2 linked regions of the Callithrix jacchus genome follow. Each later gene encodes a partner of the first gene's protein in a complex. Links are inferred from orthologs where the notes say so. Each region holds a gene or a part of one and is shown on either strand. Other genes may lie near its edges.

Evidence for each region. The genes of interacting proteins can lie anywhere in the genome.
Region 2: MED12 (region 1) and mediator of RNA polymerase II transcription subunit 24 share a complex: the UniProt entries of both Homo sapiens proteins name them as parts of the mediator complex. The link is inferred for Callithrix jacchus from reciprocal best matches to the Homo sapiens genes MED12 and MED24.

What each region holds. Positions count from the first base shown.
Region 1 is NC_133524.1:68,407,249-68,414,710, forward strand, and holds part of MED12 (mediator of RNA polymerase II transcription subunit 12), read left to right. Parts: coding exon 1-16; intron 17-463; coding exon 464-627; intron 628-834; coding exon 835-966; intron 967-1,387; coding exon 1,388-1,615; intron 1,616-1,787; coding exon 1,788-1,932; intron 1,933-2,094; coding exon 2,095-2,215; intron 2,216-2,612; coding exon 2,613-2,714; intron 2,715-2,814; coding exon 2,815-2,928; intron 2,929-3,179; coding exon 3,180-3,355; intron 3,356-3,534; coding exon 3,535-3,714; intron 3,715-5,043; coding exon 5,044-5,115; intron 5,116-5,560; coding exon 5,561-5,694; intron 5,695-5,857; coding exon 5,858-6,019; intron 6,020-6,288; coding exon 6,289-6,400; intron 6,401-6,566; coding exon 6,567-6,656; intron 6,657-7,462. UniProt on the Homo sapiens protein: Component of the Mediator complex, a coactivator involved in the regulated transcription of nearly all RNA polymerase II-dependent genes.
Region 2 is NC_133506.1:72,293,004-72,300,465, reverse strand, and holds part of mediator of RNA polymerase II transcription subunit 24, read right to left. Parts: intron 7,432-7,462; coding exon 7,289-7,431; intron 6,432-7,288; coding exon 6,394-6,431; intron 6,116-6,393; exon of another isoform or gene 6,012-6,115; intron 5,947-6,011; coding exon 5,864-5,946; intron 5,515-5,863; coding exon 5,336-5,514; intron 5,224-5,335; coding exon 5,124-5,223; intron 4,517-5,123; coding exon 4,341-4,516; intron 1,346-4,340; coding exon 1,081-1,345; intron 794-1,080; coding exon 612-793; intron 505-611; coding exon 414-504; intron 133-413; coding exon 33-132; intron 1-32. UniProt on the Homo sapiens protein: Component of the Mediator complex, a coactivator involved in the regulated transcription of nearly all RNA polymerase II-dependent genes.

The DNA.
Region 1 (7,462 bases):
CGACTTTGCCATTCAGGTGGGGAAGTTGGGGAGATGAAAGTGGAGGAAGGAGTTCGTGCTATGTAGGGGTTACAGAGGGTCATAAGGACAGGGGTAGAGGCTCCAGCCGGTTTCCCAGGGTATTTGGAGGGGGAGAAAGACTAGCACAGCGAGAGTGGAACATGAGCTAAGACTGCAGGAATAGAGACTTAAGTGCTCCCTGGGGAGGCCAAGAGACAGATTAGAGCACTGGGGACAGATCATCCTTCCACTGTGGAGTTCATAGAACTGTATCCTGGATGCTGGTTAGAGGTGTTGTTGATAGAATAAAGGACTGTGGCATAGGGTAATGGGCCCTTCTATCCTGAGGTGGCTCCAGCAGGAAGGGGCTCAGGCCCAGCCTTGTCAGCGTCCCTACAAGAAGGTGGGTTCTATGTTACATGAGGGACCTCTTTGCATTTCTCACCCCCGTTCACTCTGCTAGCTGCTGAATGAACTGAGTGTAGTCGAGGCTGAGCTGCTTCTCAAATCCTCGGATCTGGTGGGCAGCTACACTACCAGCCTGTGCCTGTGCATTGTGGCTGTCCTGCGGCACTATCATGCCTGCCTCATCCTCAACCAGGACCAGATGGCACAGGTCTTTGAGGGGTAAGCAGGGCTTCGGAATGACTGAAACACACAAGGCTCTGGCAAATGCCAGTGGAAGTGGCCTAGGAAGAGCATGCACTTCCTCCCACTCTGGGGAAGTGCCTGCTGCTCAGGTGGGAAAGGAATGGTATTTCCCAGACGCTTGAATCTGTTTCAAGGGGCCCGAATACCATCTGCCGACCCTCCTAACCTTGCTTCTTCATGCAGGCTGTGTGGTGTCGTGAAGCATGGGATGAACCGGTCCGATGGCTCCTCTGCAGAGCGCTGTATCCTTGCTTATCTATATGATCTGTACACCTCCTGTAGCCATTTAAAGAACAAATTTGGGGAGCTCTTCAGGTAAGAGAGGTAGAAGGTAAGGGGTAGCAAGTGGGACCTACTCCCTTCTTCCCATGACCACCCAACCCAGAAGGAGAGCATGGCCTGGGACCCTGCTGCCTGTTCAGGGTCATTTACGGACTGTGTCCTCCACGTACTGTTATGTTACTGAGAGTGGGCCCTCTTCCTCAGTAGGCTTGTCCCCCAATCTCTGTGGGGCCCACCCTCTTCCCTCTCTTCCTCATTGCCTTCAGCGGCCCCTGTTCCTTATTCCCATGTGGTTCCTTTCCTGCCCAGTCTGTTTTGTCCTATCTCCCTTTTCTTGTCCCAAGATCCTTCATCCCTCACTTTCTCCTTTTTTCTTTTCTCCCCTTTCCTAACCATCCTTCAACCTCAGCAGACCTTCTTCAACACTACTGTTTCCTTTCCTCCATCCCTGCAGTGACTTTTGCTCAAAGGTGAAGAACACCATCTACTGCAACGTAGAGCCATCGGAATCAAATATGCGCTGGGCACCCGAGTTCATGATTGACACTCTAGAGAACCCTGCAGCTCACACCTTCACATACACGGGGCTAGGCAAGAGTCTTAGTGAGAACCCTGCTAACCGCTACAGCTTTGTCTGCAATGCCCTTATGCACGTCTGTGTGGGGCACCATGATCCCGATAGGTATGGGGCGTACTAAGTGAGCAAGGGCACCATGCCCCCACCTGAGATAGGGAGGGCTGAGGTACCCGGGAGGTACTACAACCTTGATTTACTGGGGCAGAGATGAGAAGTTAATGGGTCTGAGGTTTTGTGGAGCAAGGTTTTTCCTGAGGGCATTTGTACTTTTCCCTAGGGTGAATGACATCGCAATCCTGTGTGCAGAGCTGACCGGCTATTGCAAGTCACTGAGTGCAGAATGGCTAGGAGTGCTTAAGGCCTTGTGCTGCTCCTCTAACAACGGCACTTGTGGTTTCAACGACCTCCTTTGCAATGTCGATGTGAGACTTGGGGTGGGGTCTTGCTAGTGGGGCAGTGACCAGGGCAGGGGTCTAGTCATGATCCTCTGACCAGGGCAGAGTTCCATAGAGTGGAGGCACACAGCTTTGAGTGGGTGCCTCTCTCCACACTGAGTCATGGTGTCTGTCTGCTTTTTCCTCCAGGTCAGTGACCTGTCTTTTCATGATTCGTTGGCTACTTTTGTTGCCATCCTCATCGCTCGGCAGTGTTTGCTCCTGGAGGATCTGATTCGCTGTGCTGCCATCCCTTCACTCCTTAATGCTGGTGAACTACCAATCTGTAACCCCTAGCATTTCTAGGCCTCAAATTTCAATACATACTGGACGGCCATCCTCTCATTGTTCACTGTGGGAGACCTTGCAGCGGCTCCCTGGCCTTCCCGAGAAGGCCAGTCCTTTGGTATGCTGAAGGCTAGAAGGAACCTGTTTTTTTAAACCCTGGATTTGCAGCCCTGACCTTTCCAATTTCTGACCCTTCAACTGCGTGACAGTTCTCCACTGTACCTCATTTTCACAGTTATCTTGCTTTTTCTCCTTTCACTTTACCTCATCTTCTCTCCTATGCTCCTGCCATACACTTCCATGCATGCAGGCATGTACACACATAAACCCACGTAGAGTTCAGCTTCATCCATCGCAGATCTGTATTGTCTTCCTTTTAGCTTGTAGTGAACAGGACTCTGAACCAGGTGCCCGGCTTACCTGCCGCATCCTCCTTCACCTCTTCAAGACACCGCAGCTCAATCCTTGCCAGTCTGATGGAAGTAAGTGACCCTGATCTGAACCAACCAACAGTAGAAAGTGTGGCTCCCTTGCCCCTGTGGATTCTGCTCCTGCTTCCCCTGACTTCATCGCCTTCCCCAGACAAGCCTACAGTAGGAATCCGCTCCTCCTGTGACCGCCACCTGCTGGCTGCCTCCCAGAACCGCATCGTGGATGGAGCTGTGTTTGCTGTTCTCAAGGCTGTGTTTGTACTTGGTATGGGGGTAGAAAGGGAGTGGTGCCAGAAGTGTGTATAGGGTGGAGTGCCAGCTAAACTACAAGGGACAGTCTTTCTCCCTCCTGAAGGTGGTCTCTCTGACCTTTTGGGAGGAGGGGAGGGACAGAAGTATATTTCTGTCCCATAGGGCAGGATTTGGGGTGTTTCTGCCTCTGTGGGCCCAGGGTGGGTCTCCACACAGTGTTCCAATCTCATTCTGCCCTCCCTATCTCCCACCCGTGAACCACAGGGGATGCAGAACTGAAGGGTTCAGGCTTCACTGTGACAGGAGGAACAGAAGAACTTCCAGAGGAGGAGGGAGGAGGTGGCAGTGGCGGTCGGAGGCAGGGTGGCCGCAACATCTCTGTGGAGACAGCCAGTCTGGATGTCTATGCCAAGTACGTGCTACGCAGCATCTGCCAACAGGTCAGTCTCACCTTCCTCCCACACCTCCAAAATGCCTCTGTGTAATATAGTCCTGTTTCCAGCCCGTGATCATACCACCTCCCTACTATACATTGTGTCCCTTACCAATTCCAGCCCATCCCCCATATTGCTAACTCCCTCACTGGTTGCTCCCAGTCCCTGATTGTCAGCTTTCTCAGGAATGGGTAGGAGAACGTTGCCTTAAGTCACTGTGTGAGGACAGCAATGACCTGCAAGACCCAGTGTTGAGTAGTGCCCAGGCACAACGCCTCATGCAGCTCATCTGCTACCCACATCGACTCCTGGACAATGAGGATGGGGAAAACCCCCAGCGACAGCGCATAAAGCGCATTCTCCAGGTAGACCAAGGCCAAGGGGGCCATGGAGGAAGCAATGGGCCCAATCTGGCGAGAAACAATAGGAACCTTGAGAAAAGGAGAGGGAGAGTTAAGTAGAGAGGAAGACAAACAAGGATGTAGGGGAGAGGAGGGGTAGTGAGAGAAACAGCTCCAGCATGGGCTGAGGAGTAAGTCCAATATGGTCTAGACTCCAGAGTAAGAGTGTTATGTGAGGGCACAGCTATCTGGAGTGAATCTAGCTTATCAGTGGGAAGCATAGCATCTGGGGGGCCTAGGTGTGGGTCTTGTATATTTGGCATTTTGGCCATGGCTCAGGAACTGAATAGTAATAGCTACTAATTGCTGAGCACATGTTTTGTGCCAGGTACTGTGCTAGGCACCTGCACACATTTCCTCATTTAATCTTTATGACCCTATGAAGTAGGTGAGCCTCCCTGTTTGACTGATGAGGAAACTGAGGCTTGAAGAGGTTAAGTAACTTGTCCAAGGTCACATAGCTGATAGGTTTAGAGTCAGCCCAGACATGTCTGTGCACTTTTCACTTCACATTGCTCCACATCTTCAGATGACTGGAGAATGGAAAAATAAAGCCGTTGAGGAAAAGCTTAAGGAATAAGGTCTCTTCAGCCCAGAATAGATAGGGCTGAAGAGAGATTAGCTAACAGTAGCCTTCTAATCTCTACAGGACTTTGAGAGATTGTCTTATAAAGGTCCTGTCAGGGACTTTCAGCAGCTAGTCTAAAACAAGAGGAGCAGGCTTCAACTTTAACATCAAGGGTTTCAAGGTTAAGCATTAAGCAGAACTTCCTGATATAAAGGGATGGGAAAGATGTGAAATCTTTCCTGAACCATTTTAAAAATTGAGAAGATTTTCAGCTAGTTTGGACTAATGTATTTTTTCTTTTCTTTTCTTTTTTTTTTTTTTTTTTTGAGACAAGTCTTGTTCTTATCACCTAGACTGGAGTGCAGTGGCACAATCTCAGCTCACTGCAACCTCCACCTCCCAGGCGCAAGTGATTCTTCTACCTCAGCCTCCTGAGTAACGGGGATTACAGACACCCGCCACCATGCCTGGCTAATTTTTGTATTTTTAGTAGAGATGGGGTTTCACCATGTTGGCCAGGCTGGTCTTAAACTCCTGACCTCGGGCGATCCACCCACCTCAGCCTCCCTAAATGTGGTTGTTCTTAAAGATGGGCACATAGAGGTCTCTTTCAGACCTCCAGGAGTCTGATTCAATGTTGCAGGAGATCAGGAATTGGCCTCAGGTTGGTGGGTAGCTGGGGGTAACAGATGATGACTAGTCTGGATGTGGGACCTCTATCACAGAACTTGGACCAGTGGACCATGCGCCAGTCTTCCTTGGAGCTGCAGCTCATGATCAAGCAGACCCCCAACAATGTAAGTAGTACCTGGACCCTCCCTTTCCTGTGCTCACATTCAACTCCTTGTGTTAGGAAGGCAGTCCACCACAGAACCTAGATCTTACCCTTGGGCTCTTGAACTGAGAGATAAGAGGGGATGGGAAAATGGTGAACAAGTGGAGCTGTTGATAAGGGAAATGGGTTGAGAGTGTTGGAGCTCTGAGCTGTGGAGAAGCTTGGTGGTGGTGGTAGAGCCTGTTTCTGTGGCCACAGATGTAAGGATATATGTAAAAGAGAAGACAGTGAGGAATTAGAGAAATACGGAGGTACTAGAAGGCATGATTCCCAACAGATTTGGGTTCCTACCTCCCCATCAATCTCCACCAGTCCTATCCTCCCTCATCTCCCATCTCTCCTACCATCTGCTTTCCTTCACCCCTAGCTACCTATTTTAGCACTTCTGTGCCTTTCATCCTCCCCAGGAGATGAACTCCCTCTTGGAGAACATCGCCAAGGCCACAATCGAGGTTTTCCAACAGTCAGCAGAGACAGGGTCATCTTCCGGAAACACTGCAAGCAACATGCCCAGCAGCAGCAAGACCAAGCCTGTGCTCAGGTCAGATAGAAACATGTTGGGACCCATCCCCTTAGGAGTTTCTCTGCTGGTAGCATGTGTGATGTTAGCTGCATGGAGATGCCAGCATGTCTATCAGGGAAAGGAGAGGGTGGATTGTTCCAGCCTTGCCTGGTTCCCCTGTGACCCTGTGTCTGTTCTCCAGCTCTCTAGAGCGCTCTGGTGTATGGCTGGTAGCCCCTCTCATTGCTAAACTGCCCACCTCAGTCCAGGGACATGTGTTAAAGGCTGCTGGAGAGGAATTGGAGAAGGGTCAGCACCTGGGTTCCTCTTCACGCAAAGAACGTGATCGACAAAAGCAGAAGAGGTAAAGGGGCTTAGGGAGTGGGCCAAGATAGAGGGGTAGAAAGGAGAGGAGGCAGGCCCAGGGAAGAATATAATTGGGATGGAGGAGAAGCATAATAGGGAAGTGGAAAATCAGAGGATAAAAGTGGGTATGGCTGAGCAAGCGGCTAGATTAAGAGAGTAGAGTCTGGGGCTTGGAGGAATGAGGTTGGAAGTTGCCTGACTCCCAACCCACAGTCTTCTCTTCTCTCTTCTCTCCTCTTCTCTTCTCTTTTCTCCTCTTGTCTCTAGCATGTCCCTGTTAAGCCAGCAGCCCTTCTTATCACTGGTGCTGACATGTCTGAAAGGGCAGGATGAACAACGCGAGGGACTCCTTACCTCCCTCTATAGCCAGGTGCACCAGGTACAGATATCTGGGCCATGGAGTTGGGCAGGAGGGCAGGGAAGGATGCACCTAAGGGGCTACTCTGTACTTGGAAACGTCAGTACTTTCTGATAAACATATTGGCTGCTTTGAGATGGAAGCACAAAGATCCCTGAACTGCATGTTTTATTTGTTTCTATTCTAGATTGTGAATAATTGGCGAGATGACCAGTACTTAGATGATTGCAAACCAAAGCAGCTTATGCATGAGGCACTCAAACTGCGGCTCAACCTGGTGAGAAGGCCAGCTGGGGAGAAGAAGGAAGAGGGTAGGGCTGGAAATGTGGAATACAAAAGCCTCAGGTTGTAGAGAACAGAGGTGAGAATAGCGGCTCCAGGCTCCAGGTTATTTTTTATTTTTTTGGAGACGGAGTCTCACTCTGTCACTCAAGCTGGAATACAGTGGTGCCATCTCAGTTCACTGCAACCTCCACTTCCTGGGTTCAAGTGATTCTTTTGCCTCAGCCTCCCAAGTAGCTGGGAGTACAGGCATGCGCCACCACGCCCAGCTATTTTTTGTATATTTAGTAGAGACGGGGTTTCACCATGCTGGCCAGGCTGGTCTTGAACTACCGACCTCAGGTGATCCACCCACCTCGGCCTCCCAAAGTGCTGGGATTATAGGTGTGAGCCACCGCGCCCACCCTGAGTCTTGAAGTATTAACCCTGTTCTCCGAAAGGATGCAGAAACTGAAAGTAGTTAAGGGGGCTGGATCACTGTGGTCATGGTCCAGTAGGTTACGTACCCTGGATCCTTGCAGGGACTCTGCCTCAGTATCCTAGATTCTGACTGGGCCCTAGAAGCTCTGGAAACCCATTGTGGAATATTGAATGGAATCCTGGAAATCATTCAGTCCAACTCCCATCACTTTCTAAGTTTGGAAACAGAGGCCCAGAGATGTCAAGAATTCCCTCATTGTCTTAAGATCATGTAGCAAAGCATAGGTTCAACTTGAGCATGACCTCAGGCATCCCAACTCAGATTTGAACTAAGCTTCCCTTACATGCTGGCCTTTGTCCCTGAGCTATCTTACTGACTTG
Region 2 (7,462 bases), on another chromosome or scaffold:
GGGAGCAGCATGCCGCCAGCCCACACACTCACTGGGGCTCGAAAGGACGTTGGCGTCATCCTCATTGGAGCTCAGCAGTCGCATCAACTTCGAAGGCTGCACGTCGTCCAGGGGGAAGAGGCTGATGTAATCCTAGAGGGTGTGAGAGTCACTGTTATATACTCCTAAACCCCTCAGTTTCCAGCTGTCAAGGAAAAGAGCTGGAGCTCCAATTTGCGTGAGGTCAGCACGGCCAGCAGGGTCTCAGCCCCTCTCTCCTCACGCCCTCCCACAATCCTACAGGCCCCTCGTACCCACAGGCAGTCTGGGGCCATACGAGCCACCCGAAGATCCCTGACCAATCACACCACATCTGCTTCCCTCAGGAAGTGCTGAATTCTCAGGAAATGAACAAGTGAACGGAGGGGCCCTACCTCAATGTCTTCACGGTGTCTCTTCTTCTGGCGGGTGGACGCCTGTCCCTTGTGGGAGGAGTAGGAACTGAGGGCACACCACACGGCCAGCCTGGCAAAGGGTTCCAGAAAAAGGGGGACAGTCAGAGAAGCCACAGGGGCTTTCTGTGTCTGACTGGGCTCCCCCAGGGTGGTACCAAGCTCTGAAGAGACTCCTACTTGGCAAGAGCGGTGCCTGGGGGGTCCATGAGGCTGTGCCACTTGGAGGAGTCAGTGAGCAGGCCAGGCAGGATGTGGCCCAGTAGGACCAGGGTCACTTGCTGCATGTCCAGGCAGAAGATGGAGTAGAGCAGCTCTACTGCCCGCAGCGTGTGCTCCTTCCGCGTCTCCTTCAGCAGCTCCTGGTGCATGGGAACGGGGACAGTTTAGGAGCCGGGGGCCCCAGATCTGCCACTCCAGCATGGCTGTCCAGGAAGGCCCACAGAGGGGTCCCAAGTGCTGCTGCACCCCTCAGGCCGAATCCCAGCCTCTGGCCAGAGCTCCCCAAGGAGGCAACCCCAAGGCAAGGCATCCCCAGGGAGCCATCAGGCTCACGGCAGCCTCTCAGGGAAGCCTGGCTGACCAGGCCAGGTGTAGGGAACCAGGGCACAGGACCCACATCGGCCCACAGCCACTCCAGCCCAAGTACCTTAATCAGGTTGTTGCCGAACCAGTAGACACCGCCCATGTGCAGCAGGGTGTCGAAGATGTGGATGGAGCGGCTGTCCACCCAGCCCTTCTCCAGCACCTTGGCAAAGATGTCCGTCAACACCTCCTTGATGGGCCGCTTGGGGGGCAGTAGGTTCCAGTAGGGCATCGTGTCCACCCCGGTGGAGGGAAACTTGATCTGCGTGGCTGTCTGCTGCAGCACATCCGCGCACATGCGCTCCAGGATGGAGTTCATGATCACTACCCTGGGGGGCCGAGAGGACCTGAGGCTCAGGTGCCACTGTGGGGCGGGGAGGGGAGGGGAGGTGAGGAAATACCCACGCCAGACTTTCCCCTGGACTTGGGTGATGGAAATCTCCCTCAGGAATTAACCCAGTTCTGTGCTGGGGAGGGGACACCCCCAGGTGACCTGGCCCCAACCCTGCTCCTGGCAGGTCTCTCACCTGCAGCACACAAAGCCTATAAACAGGGACTGGGCAGGGGCTTTCCTCCCCCTGGCCACTCCAGCCAGATATTACATTTTTCTTCCCTTACTCTCCAACTTCCCCCATTCCCCAGGCCCGAGCCCTGCCAACTTGCTGCATAAATAAACACAATCACTTCCCCCTGGGCCACTTGGGGGTCCTGGCCCAGCCCTGGCCTCCTCCCAAAGAAAACAGTTCCTTCCAGGAGAGGGCCAAGGGCTGCCCCACAGGATTCCTCCCAGCCCCTGGTAGCTGCGCAGACAAAAGTGTATATCCAGGAATTTTCACAAGGAAAGAGGCTTCGGATGTGAATACAGACCTGGCCGAGTGCTGACTGTTCCTGGAATGCGGGGTGGCTCTGGGAAAGCTGCTATGACTTTTAGAGCCACTTTTCTCACCTGCACAATAGAGTCACAGACTTCCCTCTATCCCTTACCCAGATGGGACTTAGGAAGCTTAGAATGGATTACATCAGAGCAAAAGCTCCCTATTTGGTAGGGGCGGGAGAGGGGGGACGGAAATGAGAGAAGAAAGTAAAAAGAAGGAAGCAAGAGGAAGATGAGAGGTCCTTTTCCAGACCCTCCCAAACCTCATTCAGCTCAATGCTTTCCCTTCTCTCTATTAAGACATCTTCAGGCTGGGCGTGGTGGCTCACACCTGTAATCCCAGCACCTTGGAACGCTGAGGTGGGAGGATCGTCTGAGGTCAGGAGTTCGAGACCAGCCTGGCCAACATGGCGAAACCCCATCTCTACTAAAAATACAAAAATTCGCCGGGCGTGGTGGCACACGACTGTAATCCCAGCTACTCGGGAGGCTAAGGCAGGAGAATTGCTTGAACCCAGGAGGCAGAGGTTGTGGTGAGCCGAGATCACACCACTGCACTCCTGCCTGGGCAACAGAACAAGACTCCGTCTCTAACTAAATAAATAAATGAATAAATGACATTCTCAACAGCTCCCTTGCGAGGTAACACCCAAATCATATTGGCTGGTGAACACCCATTATCTCAGCAGCACTACTCACCATAGCCCAAAGGTGGAAAAAACTCGAGTGTCACAGAGAAGGGATCATCTAGATGCGGTATAGCCACACAACAGAGGTTTCTTTCTTTTTGTTTTTGTTTTGTTTTTTGAGACAGCGTCTCACTCTGTCACCCAGGCTGGCGTACAGTGGCGCGATCTCGGCTCACAGCAACCTCTGCCTCCCAAGTTCAAGCAATTCTCCTGTCTTAGCGTCCCAAGTAGCTGGTGGGATTAGAGGTGCCTGCCACCATGCCCAGCTAATTTCTGTATTTTTAGTAGAGATGAGGTTTCACCATGTTGGCCAGGCTGGCCTTGAACTCCTGACCTCAAGGATCCACCCACCTCGGCCTTCCAAAGTGCTGGGATTACAGGCGTGAGCCACCGCACCCAGCCCACAACAGAGTATTATTCAGCCTTAAAGAGGAAGGAAATTCTGTCACATGCTACTACATGGATGAACTTTGAGGAAATCATGGTGAGTGAAGTCAGTTGGTCACGAAAAGTTAAGTACTGTATGATTCCAGTTAAATGAGGCATCTAAAAAGTAGTCAAATTCAGCAGGTCTTGGTGAGTCATGCCTGCAACCCCAGCACTTTGGGAGTCCACAGTGAGAGGATCACTTGAGGCCAGCAGTTCAAGACCTAGCAAGATAGTAAGAACATGTTTCTACAAAAAATAGAAAAAATTACCCAGGTGTGGGCCTGCAGTCCCAGCTACTCGGGAGGCTGAGGTGGGAGGATCACTTGAGCCCAGAGGTTTGAGGTTGCAGTGAACTCACTCTGGTCTGGGTCCCCCCACCCCCCAAAAAAAAAAAAAAATTATAGGCAGGGCTCGGTGGCTCAAGCCTGTAATCCCAGTACTTTGGGAGGCCGAGGCCAGTGGATCATGAGGTCAAGAGATCGAGACCATCCTGGTCAACATGGTGAAACCCTGTCTCTACTAAAAATACAAAAAATTAGCTGGGCATGGTGGCGCGTGCCTGTAATCCCAGCGACTCAGGAGGCTGAGGCAGGAGAATTGCCTGAACCCAGGAGGTGGAGGTTGCGGTGAGCTGAGATCGCGTCATTGCACTCCAGCCCCCCAAAAAAAAAAAAAAAAAAAAATATATATATATATATATATATATATATATATATATATATATAAAGTAGTCAAATTCCTAGATGCAGAAACTAAAATGGTAGTTACCAGGAGCTGGAGGGAGGAAAAAATGGGAAGTTGCTCAGTGGATACAAAGTTTCAGAGACGTAAGAAGAAAGTTCTGGAGGAGACTTGTCACACAACAGTGTGAATATACTGAACACTACCGAACAGGACACTTAAACATGCTTAAGATGGCAAATCTTATGTGCTTTTTATAATTAAAAACTGAAGAGCCAGGGCAGGAAACTGTCCTAAAAGATAACTGGGGGTGGGGGATGGCCTGTAAAATCTCCAGACACTTTTCTAGTTCCTAGACAGTTACACAGCTTTGTTCTTTGGAGAGCTAGTTGTCTAGAACTTGAGAATCTGAGGGCAGGATCATAGCTGTTTGGGATCTGCATTTCTGACACACAGCAGGTGCTGGCGTACAGACGTTTCTGCCACAGAGACACACTATGTGTTGACCGAGTCAGGTGAGTGGATGCATGAACAGGAAAGTGAGTGACCGAGCAGCGTGTTTGCGAAGGTCAGAAGAGAGGGGTGCTTGTTATTGGATGGATTTCTCACAACACACCTGCTGGGCCTGAGAAGGGAGGGCGGGTTACTGACCTTTCATTGTAGAACTGCAAGGTGTTCTCACTAAACAGTGGTCCTGCCAGCTGACGAATCATCTGCAGAGACTTCTCACGCTCATCTAGCCCCAGCATCCGGACATGGGCCACAAGCCAAGCCACCGCACACACCGCCAGACTGCACACCTTCCCTTTGATGTTATCAGTGATTTTCTAGGGGAGAGGAAAGGTGATGGGCACCATCTATCTCCCATTCCTGGGCCATCACCTTCTCAGCCTCTGTGGGCATCTAAGTGCAGTCCCCAGCGACATTCCACACCTCTCTCCACGAGTCTAATTTTTCCTAGAGCTACCTGGGCCAGAGGGAATGGCTAAGACTAGATTATACAAAAGATCAATATCAAAACATGAGCTCCTTGGGCCAAGTGTGGTAACTCACACCCGTAATCCTAGCACTTTGGGAGGCTGAGATGGGCAGATCACAAGGTCAGGAATTCGAGACCAGCCTGACCAACATGGTGAAATCCTATTTCTACTAAAAATACAAAAATGAGCCAGTTGTAGTGACACACGCTTGTAGTCCCAGCTACTCAGGAGGCTGAGGTGGGAGAATCACTTGAACCCAGAAGGCAGAGGTTCAGTGAGCCGAGATCACTCCAGTGCCCTCCACCCTGGCAACAAAACAAGACTCTATCTCAAAACAAACAAACAAACAAAACACATGAGCTCCTGGATTAAAGGTCTTTTCACTGTCATGAAATATAACAAGCCATCACTGGCTGGCTCACGGGAGCAAAGGCTGCTGGGAAGGCGGGGCTACCTGGATGGACTCGAAGGCCAGGACCCCGTTCTCCCAGGCATTGAGGATTTCCAAGATGGCGGCTGAGATGCTGAGACAGGCCTCGTGCCACTTCATCTGCCTGTGGGTGTGCGTGGGAGAAGTCACCACAGGGAAGCAGGGGACAGGCTCAGGGAGAGAGTCTTGGCCGTGCCCCCACCGCCACCCTTGGAGTGGGCGCCCGGGCCACTGACACCAGCTTCATCTCCGAGGAGTTGTTGAGCAGGGCCACCAGGGACTCCACTTTGGTGGAGTCGGGGCGGAAGCAGGGGTGGTCAGGGTTCAGGATCTTGCCCTCCTCAGGCATGCAGGTCTGCATCCAGGTCTCGAAGAAGGGTACCTCAGCTCCTGAGCGCGACTCAGACAGAATCACCTGGGAAAGGGGAAGAGGGGGCACCAGCCGAGTGGAGGGTGCGGCGCCTGCCAGCGCTAGACCTGGGGCTGCACTGTTTCCTGTCACGTTGCTGCTCCAGCCCAGCCTGAAGACTGGGGACAAACCGGTCCAACGGAGGCAGATGGGGGCTATGCTGCCACCTAGTGGTCAGTGTAGCATGGGGCTGAAGGGGGCCTCTGCAGACTCCAGCCCGGGTGGGCACTTGGTTTCTGAGGCCCACAATACTGACTGGCTGAGAGGCTGTGGCGGGGCGGGTGGTGAGGTGGGGAGAATTCCGAGTTACCTCCTTCCCCTGAGCCCCCGTCCCGGCCACTCCCCTCTTCCTCACCTCTGAACCATAGGTCTGGGCCACGTGGCACAGCATGAGGAAGGAGATGTCAAATAGCAGGGCCCGGACAGAGGCCGGTTTGGCTGTGGAAGGACAGGACAGCTGAGCTACCAGGGAGAGCCCATGTCTGGGTGGATGGGGATCAGGATTTGTCTCTAGGAAGGTCAGGGACCACGTGGCTCCTTCAAAGCTCTGAGGCTCAGAATCCTTTTCTTGAGTCTCAGTTGGAACATCATCCCTTCCTTGAGACCAAAGGCCCCCAGCACCCTCTTCCAGCATACCCAACCAAGTCATAAGGGGTGGGGGAAACGAGACACAGGGATGGTCTGGGAAGAATCCTTCTCCAGCATTACCCACTTCCGAGCTCTGTGGAAGCTTCCATCAGTCATGGCTCTGAGGAGGCAGCACAGCCTCCCCGCGTTGAGCCCAGGTGCCCTCCTCCCTCCCGCACACCCTCCTCCCTCCCACACTCTCCCTCCACACCCCTCCTCAGATCCCACTGGGCCTGCGGATGCACAGGGCTGACTTACTGCTTTCTTCGCTGCCATAGGTTGTGAATTCATTCAAACTGAAAGGAATGGAGACAGGTTGCGTTGACCAGAGCATGAGCTGAGCAGTAGCTGGGCGCTGGGGGCTACACATGCTCAGAGAGTGGTCGCTAGAGTCTGAGTTACAGGTTAAACTTAAAAGGAGACATGCTGCTACAGGAAAAGTATTACTATTTGTTTGTTTGTTTGTTTGTTTTGTTTTGTTTTTTGAGACAGAGTTTCGCTCTTGTTACCCAGGCTGGAGTGCAATGGCGCGATCTCGGCTCACCGCAAACTCCACCTCCTTGTTCAGGCAATTCTCCTGCCTCAGCCTCCTGAGTAGCTGGGATTACAGGCACGTGCCACCATGCCCAGCTAATATTTTGTATCTTTAGTAGAGATGGGGTTTCACCATTTTGACCAGGAGGGTCTTGATCTCTTGACCTCGTGATCCACCCGCTTTGGCCTCCCAAAGTGCTGGGATTACAGGCGTGAGCCATTGTGAGAAGATTTCCATGGCCTAGAGAACGGCTCACTGAATGGTACCATGTTCTGTATGTCAGATTCTAGGGCAACCAGAAAAGGCAACAGAATTTGAGAGCTGCTTATTAATAACTGGGCATACTTGGAATGCCTCCACGTCCAGTGTTCAACGCCTCAACCTTTACCCTCATCTCTTTACCAAACACATCCACTCCATCCTCAGCTGAAGAGAAAAGAACACTTAGGTTGTGAGAACAGGCCCTTTCTACAAGATCTCCAGCCAGGGTGCTCTGCCTAGGCCCGTGGGTCTCTGGACGAGACCCAGACCCAGGCACCTGACTCCTACTCTGCTACCTCCTGCCAACACGCATGGCCTCCCCGCATGCCCTGGGGTCAGGAGCTTGGCCTTCCTCACTTGATGAATTTCCGGGCGAAGGATTTCAGCTTTCCAGTGGCAGCAGCAGCAGCCAGTAGCAAGTCCAGACTCTTCCCGGATAGCATGTGGCCCAGGACGCCCAGCAGTCCCTCCGGGGACTTAGAGTGGTCTGCATCCATTGTCTGGAGACAGGACAGGAAATCAAGTCCTGAA